Linked DNA regions of Oryzias latipes. The protein of the gene in region 1 purifies or fractionates together with the protein of each later gene. This does not show direct contact. Links are inferred from orthologs where the notes say so. Each region holds a gene or a part of one and is shown in the gene's direction. Other genes may lie near its edges.

Evidence for each region.
Region 2: the proteins of ncbp3 (region 1) and thoc6 purify together in Homo sapiens (co-immunoprecipitation; 3 studies listed by BioGRID and IntAct, with this or other methods). This does not show direct contact. The link is inferred for Oryzias latipes from reciprocal best matches to the Homo sapiens genes NCBP3 and THOC6.
Region 3: the proteins of ncbp3 (region 1) and THO complex subunit 4 purify together in Homo sapiens (affinity purification with mass spectrometry; 4 studies listed by BioGRID and IntAct, with this or other methods). This does not show direct contact. The link is inferred for Oryzias latipes from reciprocal best matches to the Homo sapiens genes NCBP3 and ALYREF.

What each region holds. Positions count from the first base shown.
Region 1 is NC_019872.2:24,111,363-24,115,017, forward strand, and holds part of ncbp3 (nuclear cap-binding protein subunit 3), read left to right. Parts: intron 1-1,533; coding exon 1,534-1,633; intron 1,634-3,655. UniProt on the Homo sapiens protein: Associates with NCBP1/CBP80 to form an alternative cap-binding complex (CBC) which plays a key role in mRNA export. NCBP3 serves as adapter protein linking the capped RNAs (m7GpppG-capped RNA) to NCBP1/CBP80.
Region 2 is NC_019866.2:289,586-293,340, reverse strand, and holds the start of thoc6 (THO complex subunit 6 homolog), read left to right. Parts: upstream 1-897; 5' UTR 898-912; coding exon 913-1,050; intron 1,051-1,831; coding exon 1,832-1,923; intron 1,924-2,000; coding exon 2,001-2,065; intron 2,066-2,168; coding exon 2,169-2,272; intron 2,273-2,342; coding exon 2,343-2,380; intron 2,381-3,755. UniProt on the Homo sapiens protein: Component of the THO subcomplex of the TREX complex which is thought to couple mRNA transcription, processing and nuclear export, and which specifically associates with spliced mRNA and not with unspliced pre-mRNA.
Region 3 is NC_019866.2:15,369,731-15,373,485, reverse strand, and holds the start of THO complex subunit 4, read left to right. Parts: upstream 1-849; 5' UTR 850-996; coding exon 997-1,236; intron 1,237-2,586; coding exon 2,587-2,745; intron 2,746-2,830; coding exon 2,831-2,978; intron 2,979-3,072; coding exon 3,073-3,136; intron 3,137-3,227; coding exon 3,228-3,408; intron 3,409-3,491; coding exon 3,492-3,506; 3' UTR 3,507-3,755. UniProt on the Homo sapiens protein: Functions as an mRNA export adapter; component of the transcription/export (TREX) complex which is thought to couple mRNA transcription, processing and nuclear export, and specifically associates with spliced mRNA and not with unspliced pre-mRNA.

The sequences.
Region 1 (3,655 bases):
CCTGAAGCCCACCTGAAACCACAAAACCCACTTTTGCAGCACGTTCCAAATTACACCAATGACATTTTTCTGTGATTTCTCTGTAATTGTCAACGCAAACGTCAGTCAGCAGAATGTTCAAGTCAGTAAGCGTTAGAGTATAAATAACGGTAAATGTTACTGAACACAACCTAAAGATAAAACCCTCAAAGTCACTGTTCCACATTATTACACACAACCGAGTTCCACAACATTTGATAGATTCTAAAGAACTGAAAATGGTAGTTTGCTACATGTTCGTATTTACTGAAATGTAAAGCTATTCCAATCAAAAACATCTTCATAGGTCAAGTTCCATTTGAACACAGGACCCCTTATCTTGTAGTAGCTTCACAATTGTTGCATCTATTGAACTTTTTGGAGAGTTTCTGCTTGAATTTCTTTGATGTCAGAATATCCTCCCAGAGCTGCTGTTTGGATTTGAACTGCCTCCAACCCTCAGAGATATTTTACTTGAGGAATTCTCCAAAAGTTCTGAATAGGGTTGAGGCCAGGGGAGGATGGGGGCCAAACCATCAGTTTATCTCCTTTTCTGTCCATAGCAGCCAACGATGCAGAGGTTTTCCTTGCAGCATGGGATGGTGCATTGTCATGCATGAAGAGGATTTTGTTACGGAAAGCACGGTTCTTCTTTTTGTACCATGGAAGAACGTGGTCAGTCAGAAATTCCACCTACTTCAGGGACCCTAAAAGGGCCGACCAGCTCTCTCCCTATGATTCCAGCCCAAACCATGACTCCCCACCTCCTTGCTGACGTCACAGCCTTGTTGGGACATGGTGGCCATCTACCATCCACCCACTACTCCATCCATCTGGACCATCCAGGGTTACACGGCATTCATTAGTGAACAAGACTGTTTGAAAATGAGTCTTCATTATGTCTGGGCCCACTGCAGCCGTTTCTGGTTGTCAGTGTTGTTTGGCGAATAGAAGGTTTACTTAGAACTACAAGCCTCTGGAGTGTCCTACACCTTGATGTTGGTGGGTCCCCAGAGACACCAGCAGTTTCAAATATGTGCTTGCAGCTTTGTCATGGTATTTCAGCAGCGGCTCTCTTAATCCCATGTATTTGTCTGGCAGAAATCTTCCTCATTCTGCCTTTATCTGCAGCAACCCGTCTCTGTTCTGAATCAACCACAGATTTCTTAATAGTACAATGATCACACCTAAATCATTGTGAAATATCTAAGGTTTTTATACCTTCTTCAAGGCATTTCACTATTTCACGGTTCAGCAGCAGAAAGATCCTTTTTTTCTTTCCCATATTGCTTGAAAAAGTTGGTCTGCTTAATAATTTGGAACGTCCTTCTTTAGTTTTTCCTTTAACTAAACTCACCTTTTAAATGAATCTTCGCAATGTCTGAGACTGAAGTCAGTAAAACAATATCATCCATGAAAAACAAATAATTTCATCTTTTTATCGCTTCAATATAAATTGCATAACAACTGGAAACACTGTAGTGTGGTGTTCATGTCGTGTCGTTTTGGTTCCAGATGATAAGAAGGAGCCGGGGGCAGCGCGGCGCAGCAGATACTACATGAAGTACGGAAACCCCAACTATGGAGGCATGAAGGGCATCCTCAGCAACTCCTGGTGAGACTTGCAGACAAGTTAAGATGTTTTTAAAGACCCACAACAGGGAAAATGGTGTTTTTAACATGTTCTTAGAGCATTTTCTGATGTTTGAGAAAAGAGAGAGAGTGAGTGCTGGAATATAACTCCTGTCATTTATATAAGAGTTTTTCTTCCCTGTGTATTTCGTATTGATTTTATTGTGCTTCTACTACAACTGAATTTCCCTACAGGAATTACCTGATTTAACTCTAAACACGTGTTCAATCGTTTTGTAGGTAAAGCCCGGAAACAGTTGTAAAAATGTGTGTAGCTACGCGTGAACACAGGAGTTTGGAAGGCAGAAGCTGGAATCGTGCGTTTCCATAGACTTCTCATTGGAAGTGGTGACTTGAACAGAGCTGCATGCCAGGCTTGGAAAAGGGCTTCTAAAGTGACACAGAGGAAGAAGGATTCAATGGATTTAGTGATTTGAAGCGATGTATAGAGCTTAGCTGACTTGTGACTATGTTCTTTATGCAATGGTCATCTGAAAAATTGTTCATCTGTTGCGCTAATGTAAAAAATAAGTGCACAATAGCTACCAGCACAATGCCAAAGAGAAAAGGCAGATTTAAACAGATGAGTCGATGTTACGGAGGGCAGGAGGGAGAGAATTCCTGAGTTTGGGAAAAGAGTGGCTGAAGGTTTGGCTCAAACTGTTTTACGGTAGTGAAGTGTGTATGGTATATATTCAGTCTATTGTTGTTTATTCCTTTATTAGAATTTGCCTTTCAAGATGAAATGTCCGTTCTAGTTCCTATATTTCTTTGAATACATTTCTCCCAAAAGTGTGACTTGTATAGTGGGATAAAAAAGAATTTAGTCAGATGCTAATTGTGACACTTAAAGATATGAGAGAGGTCTTTAATTTTGCATCATAATTTTACCTCAACTATGAAAGATGAAATGTAAAAAACAAATCTTGAAAATCACATTGTCTGATTTTTAAAGAATTGTTTTGTGAATTATGGTGGAAAATAAGTATTTGGTCGATAGCGTAAAAAAGTTCAACTCAATACTACATTTTACCTTTGTTTGCAATGACGGCAGCCAAATGCTTTCTGTAAGTATTTTGGTCCATTCCTCCATGCAGATCTCCTCTAGAGCAGTGATGTCTTGGTGCTGTCGCTGGGCTAAACAGACTTTCAACTCCCTCCAAAGATTTTCTGTGGGGTTGAGATCTGGAGACTGGCTAGGCCACTCCAGGACCTTGAATTGGTTCTTACGAAGTCACTCCTTCGTTACCCGGGCAACGTGTGTTTGGGATGGTTGTCATGCTGAAAGACTCAGCCACGTATCAGGACGTTGACTGACAGTCTCTATTCTCCAAAGTTTCTGTTTGGTGATAAAGAAACAGTGAAAAGTGACATTTCTGAATGGAAATCAACACTTTTCAAACAATGTGTGAAATGACAAAACAAATGTGTGCACCAGACCCTGCTGTTTAGTAAAATGACACACCAAAAAGAACTTTAAGGAAGGCCGTGGCTCCCAACTGATTTGATTCTTGCAGATTGTTGACTTGCAGAGCAAATACATGGAAAATGCCAGAAAGAAAGGGAATATTCGCACGGAATTTTCCAAACACGTGCTGAACGTTTTTCTTGGCTGCACGAACACAAAGGAAGGGTTACGTTTAGGGTTACGGTTGAGCTGCGTTCACACCGAACGCGACTCGCTCGGCAGACAGAGACCCGCTGTGGGATGGGGAGCCAACTGGCTTGGGCCTCCAGAACTTTATCATATTTCTCTTATTTTCAGCGAGGCAAAAATAAAAAAGGTCCCCTGATTTTTCTTCTTGTTTTTATTTTTACCCTCTCTGGTTAATGCGGGACAGCAAGCCTTCAAACTCGGTCCTAGAGAGATTAAACCAACAACAAAATCCAGCCTTGGACACACTTGAAATGCGTGCGGCGGGCAAAGCAGCAAAGTGCCTTCTTCCCTCGTCTCTCACTTGACCTTGTGCGCCCTGGACGGAGCTTGTGACATCACAGCAGCTCA
Region 2 (3,755 bases), on another chromosome or scaffold:
TTGTGGGTTTGTGGTATTGGTGTTGTGTGTTTGCAGTGTTGATGTTGTTGTGTGTTTGTTGTGTTGATGTTGTTGTGTATTTGTGGTGTTGATGTTGTGTTTCTGTGGTGTTGTTGTGTGTTTGTTGTGTTGATGTTGTTGTGTGTTTGTTGTGTTGATGTTGTTGTGTGTTTGTGGTGTTGATGTTGTGTTTCTGTGGTGTTGTTGTGTGTTTGTTGTGTTGATGTTGTTGTGGGTTTGTGGTATTGGTGTTGTGTGTTTGCAGTGTTGATGTTGTGTTTCTGTGGTGTTGTTGTGTGTTTGTGGTGTTGTGCTTTTTGATGTGGAGTTGGTGGAGGAGGACAGGTGGTTAGTGAGGTGCCCCCCCAGGAACCTGTGGACCTTCTCCACAGCAGCATTTATGTCTTTTCTATGAGACGCTTAATGTGTGCAGAGAAGTGGGTCAGGGTTTGAGACGGGTAAAAAGGCTTTTTTGTATTTGTAGCCTTTGTTGGTGTTGAAGAAAAAAATAAAAGAAAGCAGACATACTTTGTGGAGTCCGTGTGAACTTCCTAACCAATGCTTTCAATCCCAATATTTGAAACAGTTTAAAGCTCAGGTTCTGATCTTCTGCTGCAGCAGAACCGTTTGTGGAGTACTGAGATTTTGCGGCTCTGACTCGGTTTTGTCGGTAAGAAACTGGATCAAATGGATCTGTCAGAGGTTGCAGGTTCAGCTGTTGAATCAATAAAATCCTTCTAAGTACACACACTCACGCACACACACTCACGCACACCCACACTCACGCACACACCCACCCACACACACACTCACACACACACACACGCACACAGCAGCTGATTAGAAAAAGCTCAACTGTTCCTGCTGAGCCATCAGGTCAGAAATCTTTGTCACACCACTACAACTCCCAGCATGCCGTGCGTTCCTGTGACGTCATATTCTCGAGCCAGAGGTTTTCGCGCCTTGTGCGCCGCTAGGTTTATTGTCTGGAAGTTCAGTGTTGTTCGGTTCTGGGGGTTCCAGGTCGGCGGCAGGATGGGACCGGTCGAGGTGAGTTACCCGAACACGGACTCGGTTCGCGCGCACAGAATCCCGGTGTCACTTTTATCGAACCGAGCCTGAAGTCCGTCCACGGAGGAGGAGACTCAGACAGACGGCTTCATCATCCGAACCCCGCTCAGGTTCCGTTTCCGCTGGCGAATAAACCGTAAAGGAATACGGAGCCACAGAACCACAAAGTCCAATACCTGATCCAGAACCTTCATTCTGAACAGAACATCAGTAAAAACATTTGGTAGAAAAACCGCAGCGACTTCAGCCAAACGCAGCAAACTGATATTAATGGAGGCTTTATTTATGACACATCCCCTGGGGGGGAGGGGGGGGGGGTGTTACATCATGCTTCACGGTACACGCGTCCCGGTAAAGCGCTAATTAACTGGAGAGAAATTCAGGTTCGAGTCCCACTCAGGCTTCCTCGTCCATAGTATAACATGTTTATAAAGCTCCATATGGCTGTGATGGTCATGAACATCATAACCAACAATAATCCACCGACAGTCACCTTAGAACGAGCTGAATGACCAGACATGCAATCTAATGAATACATTTGTACATCAAATAACTCGGCTGATATTAGCGCTTTACCGTCTTTGTGGACCAGAAACCAGGATGTAAACATTTTACGCTAAAACTCAGTGACGGCTGGCCGGACCGCACTTCACCAGACCACGGTCTGGTTCCGATTCAATGTGACTGAGAAAAGAACCAAAGTTCTGGATGAGTAGCTGCTGTTCTGGATGTTCTAACCGGACTCTGGTTCCGCCCCCAGCTGCTCCACATGTCCGTCTTCTCTCAGAGCTTCTCTCCCTGCGGACGCTTCCTGGCGGCCGGGAACAACTACGGGGAGATCGGCCTGTTCAGGTGAGCGAAACGAGCGCCGCCGTGCACGGGCGGGCGGGCGCGCACGGCGGCGCTCTCAGCTGTGTCTCCGTCTCCAGTTTGTCAGCAGCTCTCAGCCCAGATGCCGGTGCCGCCAGCCTCAAACCGGTCCTGACATTCACAGGTGAGTCCGTCCGGCTGGACCGGGTCCAGGAGAAGGTTCTTCCGGTGATCGTGGTCCGGGTCCGGCAGAAGGTTCTAGTTGAACGTTGGGTCTCGTCCTGCAGCTCACGAGGGTCCAGTCTTCAGCCTTCTGTCGGCGGACGGCGTCCTGCTGAGTGCTGGAAACGGCGAGGTCAGCGCCTGGAGCTGGACCGAGCTCAGCAAGAAGGTGAGGCTCCTCGGAACCAGAACCCCAGTCCTCCTGGACCTCCAGGTGACCTCCTGCCCTTTGTCCTCAGAGCGTAAAGCCCCTGTGGAGCAAGAGACCCACTTACAGGTGAGAACACGCACACACAGACACACACAGACACACAAAGAGACGCACACACAGACGCACACGAAGAGACGCACACACAGACACACACAGACACACACAGAGACGCACACACACATAGACACACACACACAGACGCACACAAAGAGACGCACACACAGACGCACACACACAGACGCACACACACAGACGCACACAAAGAGACGCACACACAGACGCACACACACAGACGCACACAAAGAGACGCACACACAGACGCACACACAGACGCACACACAGACGCACACACAGACGCACACAGAGACGCACACAGAGACGCACACAGAGACGCACACAGAGACGCACACAGAGACGCACACACAGACGCACACACAGACGCACACACAGACGCACACACACAGACGCACCCACACAGACGCACACAAAGAGACGCACACAAAGAGACGCACACACAGACGCACACACAGACGCACACACACAGACGCACACACAGACGCACACAGAGACGCACACAGAGACGCACACAGAGACGCACACAGAGACGCACACAGAGACGCACCCACACAGACGCACCCACACAGACGCACCCACACAGACGCACACACACAGACGCACACACAGACGCACCCACACAGACGCACACACACAGACGCACACAGAGACGCACCCACACAGACGCACCCACACAGAGACGCACCCACACAGACGCACACACAGACGCACACACAGAGACGCACACACAGAGACGCACACACAGAGACGCACACACAGAGACGCACACAGAGACGCACACAGAGACGCACACAGAGACGCACACAGAGACGCACACACACAGACGCACACACAGACGCACACACAGACACACAGACGCACACACACAGACGCACACACACAGACGCGCACACAGACGCACACACAGACGCACACACAGACGCACACACACACAGACGCACACACACACAGACGCACACACACAGACGCACACACACAGACGCACACACACAGACGCACACACACAGACGCACACATAGACGCACACACAGACGCGCACACACAGACGCACACACACAGATGCACACACAGAGACGCACACCCAGACGCACACCCAGACGCACACACAGACGCACATACACAGACGCACATACAGACGCGCACACACAGACGCGCACACACAGACGCGCACACACAGACGCGCACACACAGACGCGCACACACAGACGCGCACACACAGACGCACACATAGACGCACACATAGACGCACACACAGACCCACACACAGACGCACACACACAGACGCACACACACAGACGCACACCCAGACGCACACCCAGACGCACACACACAGACGCACACACAGACGCGCACACACAGACGCGCA
Region 3 (3,755 bases), on another chromosome or scaffold:
TTAACAGAGGTAGAGTTTACAGACAAACAGAGCCATGTAGCTCAGAAACAATCAATGTAGGAAAGGTTTCAATAAAAGAACAAGAGGGAAACTTTCTTTTTTGTTTGTTTTCTAATTAGGTGAAGAAGTTGTTGGTCTTAAAAATACTACTACCTTCAAATCAAAACAATAGAGTTGCATTTATATTTGTTATTTACATATTTCAAATGAATGTGAAGGAAGAATACAATCATGCATTCTCGTGCAGGGTGCTTTTTTAATCCTTATTGTAGTATGAAGAAGAGCAAAATTTTGAATAATACTTTGAATTGCTATCTTTTTATGCAAAATTAATCTTTTGAGATCAAATTAATTTCAACTTCTTAGCAGATTTGCTGACGTGTCTCATCAAAAAGAGATCCAATTTGTATTTATAATATGCATATTGAGAGTTCAGGGTGTTGTCCAATTTAAGCATTCATTATAATAACGTTTCTTGATCAAACTAAGAAAGTTTTCTTTAGGTCATAGTCACATCTAAATAAAAAATCAATTCAATACAAATTTCATTTGAAATATGAAACCACATTTTTGTTTGTTTAAAGAAGTGCCTTAGCCTATTTGTTTTCAATGTAATTTAAAGTCTAAAAGTATTTTTTTTTATGTTATTCAGTTTCGTTATAGAGATATAGTTAAAAGTGTTTGATTTAATGCTTTGATTGCTTCTTTTAGTGTTACTATGAACTGAACACACCCATGTATGGCGTTTTTTAGGAATAATGTTTTAGTTTCCAGTAGAGGGCGGTAAAGAGTTGTTGTAGTTTTTAACGTAATGACGTCAAGAGTACGTGTTCTCCAACCAATCAGCTTTTCTACAGCTTGTGGGCGCTTTTCATTGTGCTTAGTACTTGGACCAGAGAGCGTAAATCTACGGACGAAGAGAGGGAACAGCTTAGTCCAGGGTGTTTTAAGACAATTTAAATCTTTACAGTGCTTTAGAGTTATCGGGGCAGCATAATGGCGGATAAGATGGATATGTCTCTAGACGACATTATCAAGCTGAACAGGCAGAGTAGAGGCGGAGCCCGTGGGGGAAGAGGCCGAGGCCGCGGAGGCTCAGGCGGTGCCCGTGGAGGAGGCCTTGGGCGTCTTGGTGGTGGCGGCGGCGGATTTGGAGGCCGAGGCGGAGGATCAGGCCCCATGAGGACCCGACAGAACCTGAGCCGCGCTAGAGGCAGACCAACGCCTTATAGCAGGGTATGAGAAAGTTAGACGAATGGGCATTGGAAGGAAAAAAACCTTCGTCAAAGCTGAAAATTCCTGGTTTACGTCTTCTTTTCTCCATTTGGCTTGACGGCTAATCACCTAGCTAGTCAAGCCATTAAAATGGTTGCTTACCGCTGAGTTTCCCTTAGAGGAGAGCTCTATAGTTTGTGGATAAGCATAAATGGAGGTTGTTTGCATAATATGTCCCTTCTCCCACAACCTATATGTGTCGCACCACTTTTCAAGAAGAAGCTGCTTGAGGAGCGACTATGTTAGCCACATTGGCTAACCTGCCGGATCGTGAAGGTCTCAGCGCCATTTTGAATCCAACAACCTCGAATACAATTTGGCGTCAAAATGATGTTTTACCCCAAGTGTCGTAATGGTCTGGAAAGAAAAGGATGCCTACATCGCTGAGAAGGTTCCTGCACGTTTTTTCCATTGCTACGGAATCACATTCCTTCCAACGTCCTGCTACATCTTCAAGGCGGCCTTTTGTCCCAGGAATGGCTGACGGGGTTTCTTAAAATCCCACCCAAAAGGCTTTTCACCAAATGTCACATATGGATGGATACGTGGACTCATACTTAATCCCCTCAAATTTCCTTTATTTTTTTTTTTTTTTTTGTAAAAAGAAGCCCAATCTTCACTCCTGGGGTGTGAATGAATATAAATGCAACCCAAACAAAGCCCCGATCAAAATGGCGTGGTTTCAAAATGGACGTCCGCGTACTCCACGCACTAAAAAGGGGGCTATCGGCTTCTTTCCCCCCAAAATGTTCTTCACCTGTAACATCCTAAAGACATTTCTTCATGAAAGTCGAATTGTGGCCTGACAAAGGACTGTTGTGAGCCTGGACAAGCGGCGCAACGCGGGATGCGAGGCTGCTTCTGCCGGGGACCCCCCCTCGTGTGCCTGAGGAGCATGTCGACAGACAGAGCAGTTGGTGGAGTAGCAGATGGCAAGAAACGACGGGGTTATGCTAGCTAGTTTGGGGCGGATTTTTGGTTCATGTAAAGATTTTTTAAAGTTAATGTATGAAAATGATTAGTTTAAATATCTGTCAGCTTTTTGTCTTACTTTACAAGTAGTAAAACATTGAAATTTTCTGTATCAAAACACCAAAATAGCTATTTTTAAATTTGTGTATTTCTGTCTGAAGTGATTCACGTGATTGTAACGATGGGGTGGGCAGGGATCATGGGGGGGTCTGCTGAGCACCCTGGCCGTGTTGGAAGTGGAGCACCTGCTTGCACCAACACCCAGCCGTGTGGACTCTGTGAAAGACAGAGGCAGGGGATCCTGAAGTCAGCAGGTGCGTTCTCTTTCGTCTGTTGCAGCCCAAACAGCTTCCCGATAAATGGCAGCACGACATGTTTGACAACGGCTTCAGCGGCTTCAATGGGGCTGCTGGAGGTGGCGGAGGAGCTGGTGTGGAAACGGGAGGAAAGCTCCTCGTCTCCAATCTGGACTTTGGGGTGTCAGACGCAGACATCCAGGTACAACTTAGCTAGCATATCTGATGGTGATGTTTTTTTTTTTTAATTGATGACTTAGTTTTGACTTTTTTTTTTTTTATCGAAGGAACTCTTTGCTGAATTTGGGACTCTAAAGAAAGCTGCAGTTCATTACGACAGATCAGGAAGAAGCCTTGGAACGGCAGATGTCCACTTTGAAAGGAGGGCAGATGCCCTGAAAGCCATGAAACAGTACAATGGCATTCCTCTTGATGGTATTCTTCTACTTTATTACAGATTTATTTAATTAGATAAATACATTTAAATATTAGTTGATCTTCCCAAGATTAAAGCCTAATTTGTGTTTAGGGCGGCCTATGAACATTCAGCTCGTCACATCACAGATCGACACACAGAGGCGGCCTATGCAGGGGTAAGTAAGCATGGATTCTTGGGAAACTGGAAACAGGCTGTTGTGTAAACCCCAATTACATTTTCTTTGTGTATTTGTTTTGTTTTACCAGTATGAACAGAGGTGGTGGAGGCATGAGTAGAAATCGGGGTTTCGGAGGGATGCAAAGAGGCCGAGGGGTCCGTGGTGCAGGTGGTCCCAGAGGAAGAGGGCGGGGGGGGCGCGGCGGTGCCCCCAAGCAACCGCTATCGGCAGAAGAGCTTGACGCCCAGTTAGATGCTTACAATGCCAGGGTACATCTGTCAAAATAGAAAGCATCTTCTGTTGAAGTTGTTTTGCAGCTGTCCTAATTCTGTTTCACCTCTTGTTTTCTCAGATGGATACCAGTTAAGGAAACCTCCCATCCTAGTTGACGTCATCCCTCCCTGTCTGCACAGAAAGGGGTGCTTGTTACAGATGTGCAGAATATTTTACACTTGTCTTCTGATGTGATTGAAATTGTTCCAACCTCTTCTTTTAAATACTCCAAAGTGTTTTTTACCAAGTGTTTTATTTTTGTTTTAATTTTTTTTTTTTTTTTGATCGAATGGTTTTACTGTAGGTTAACTGCTGGGTGGAGTTTTCTCAGTTTCTCCCAACC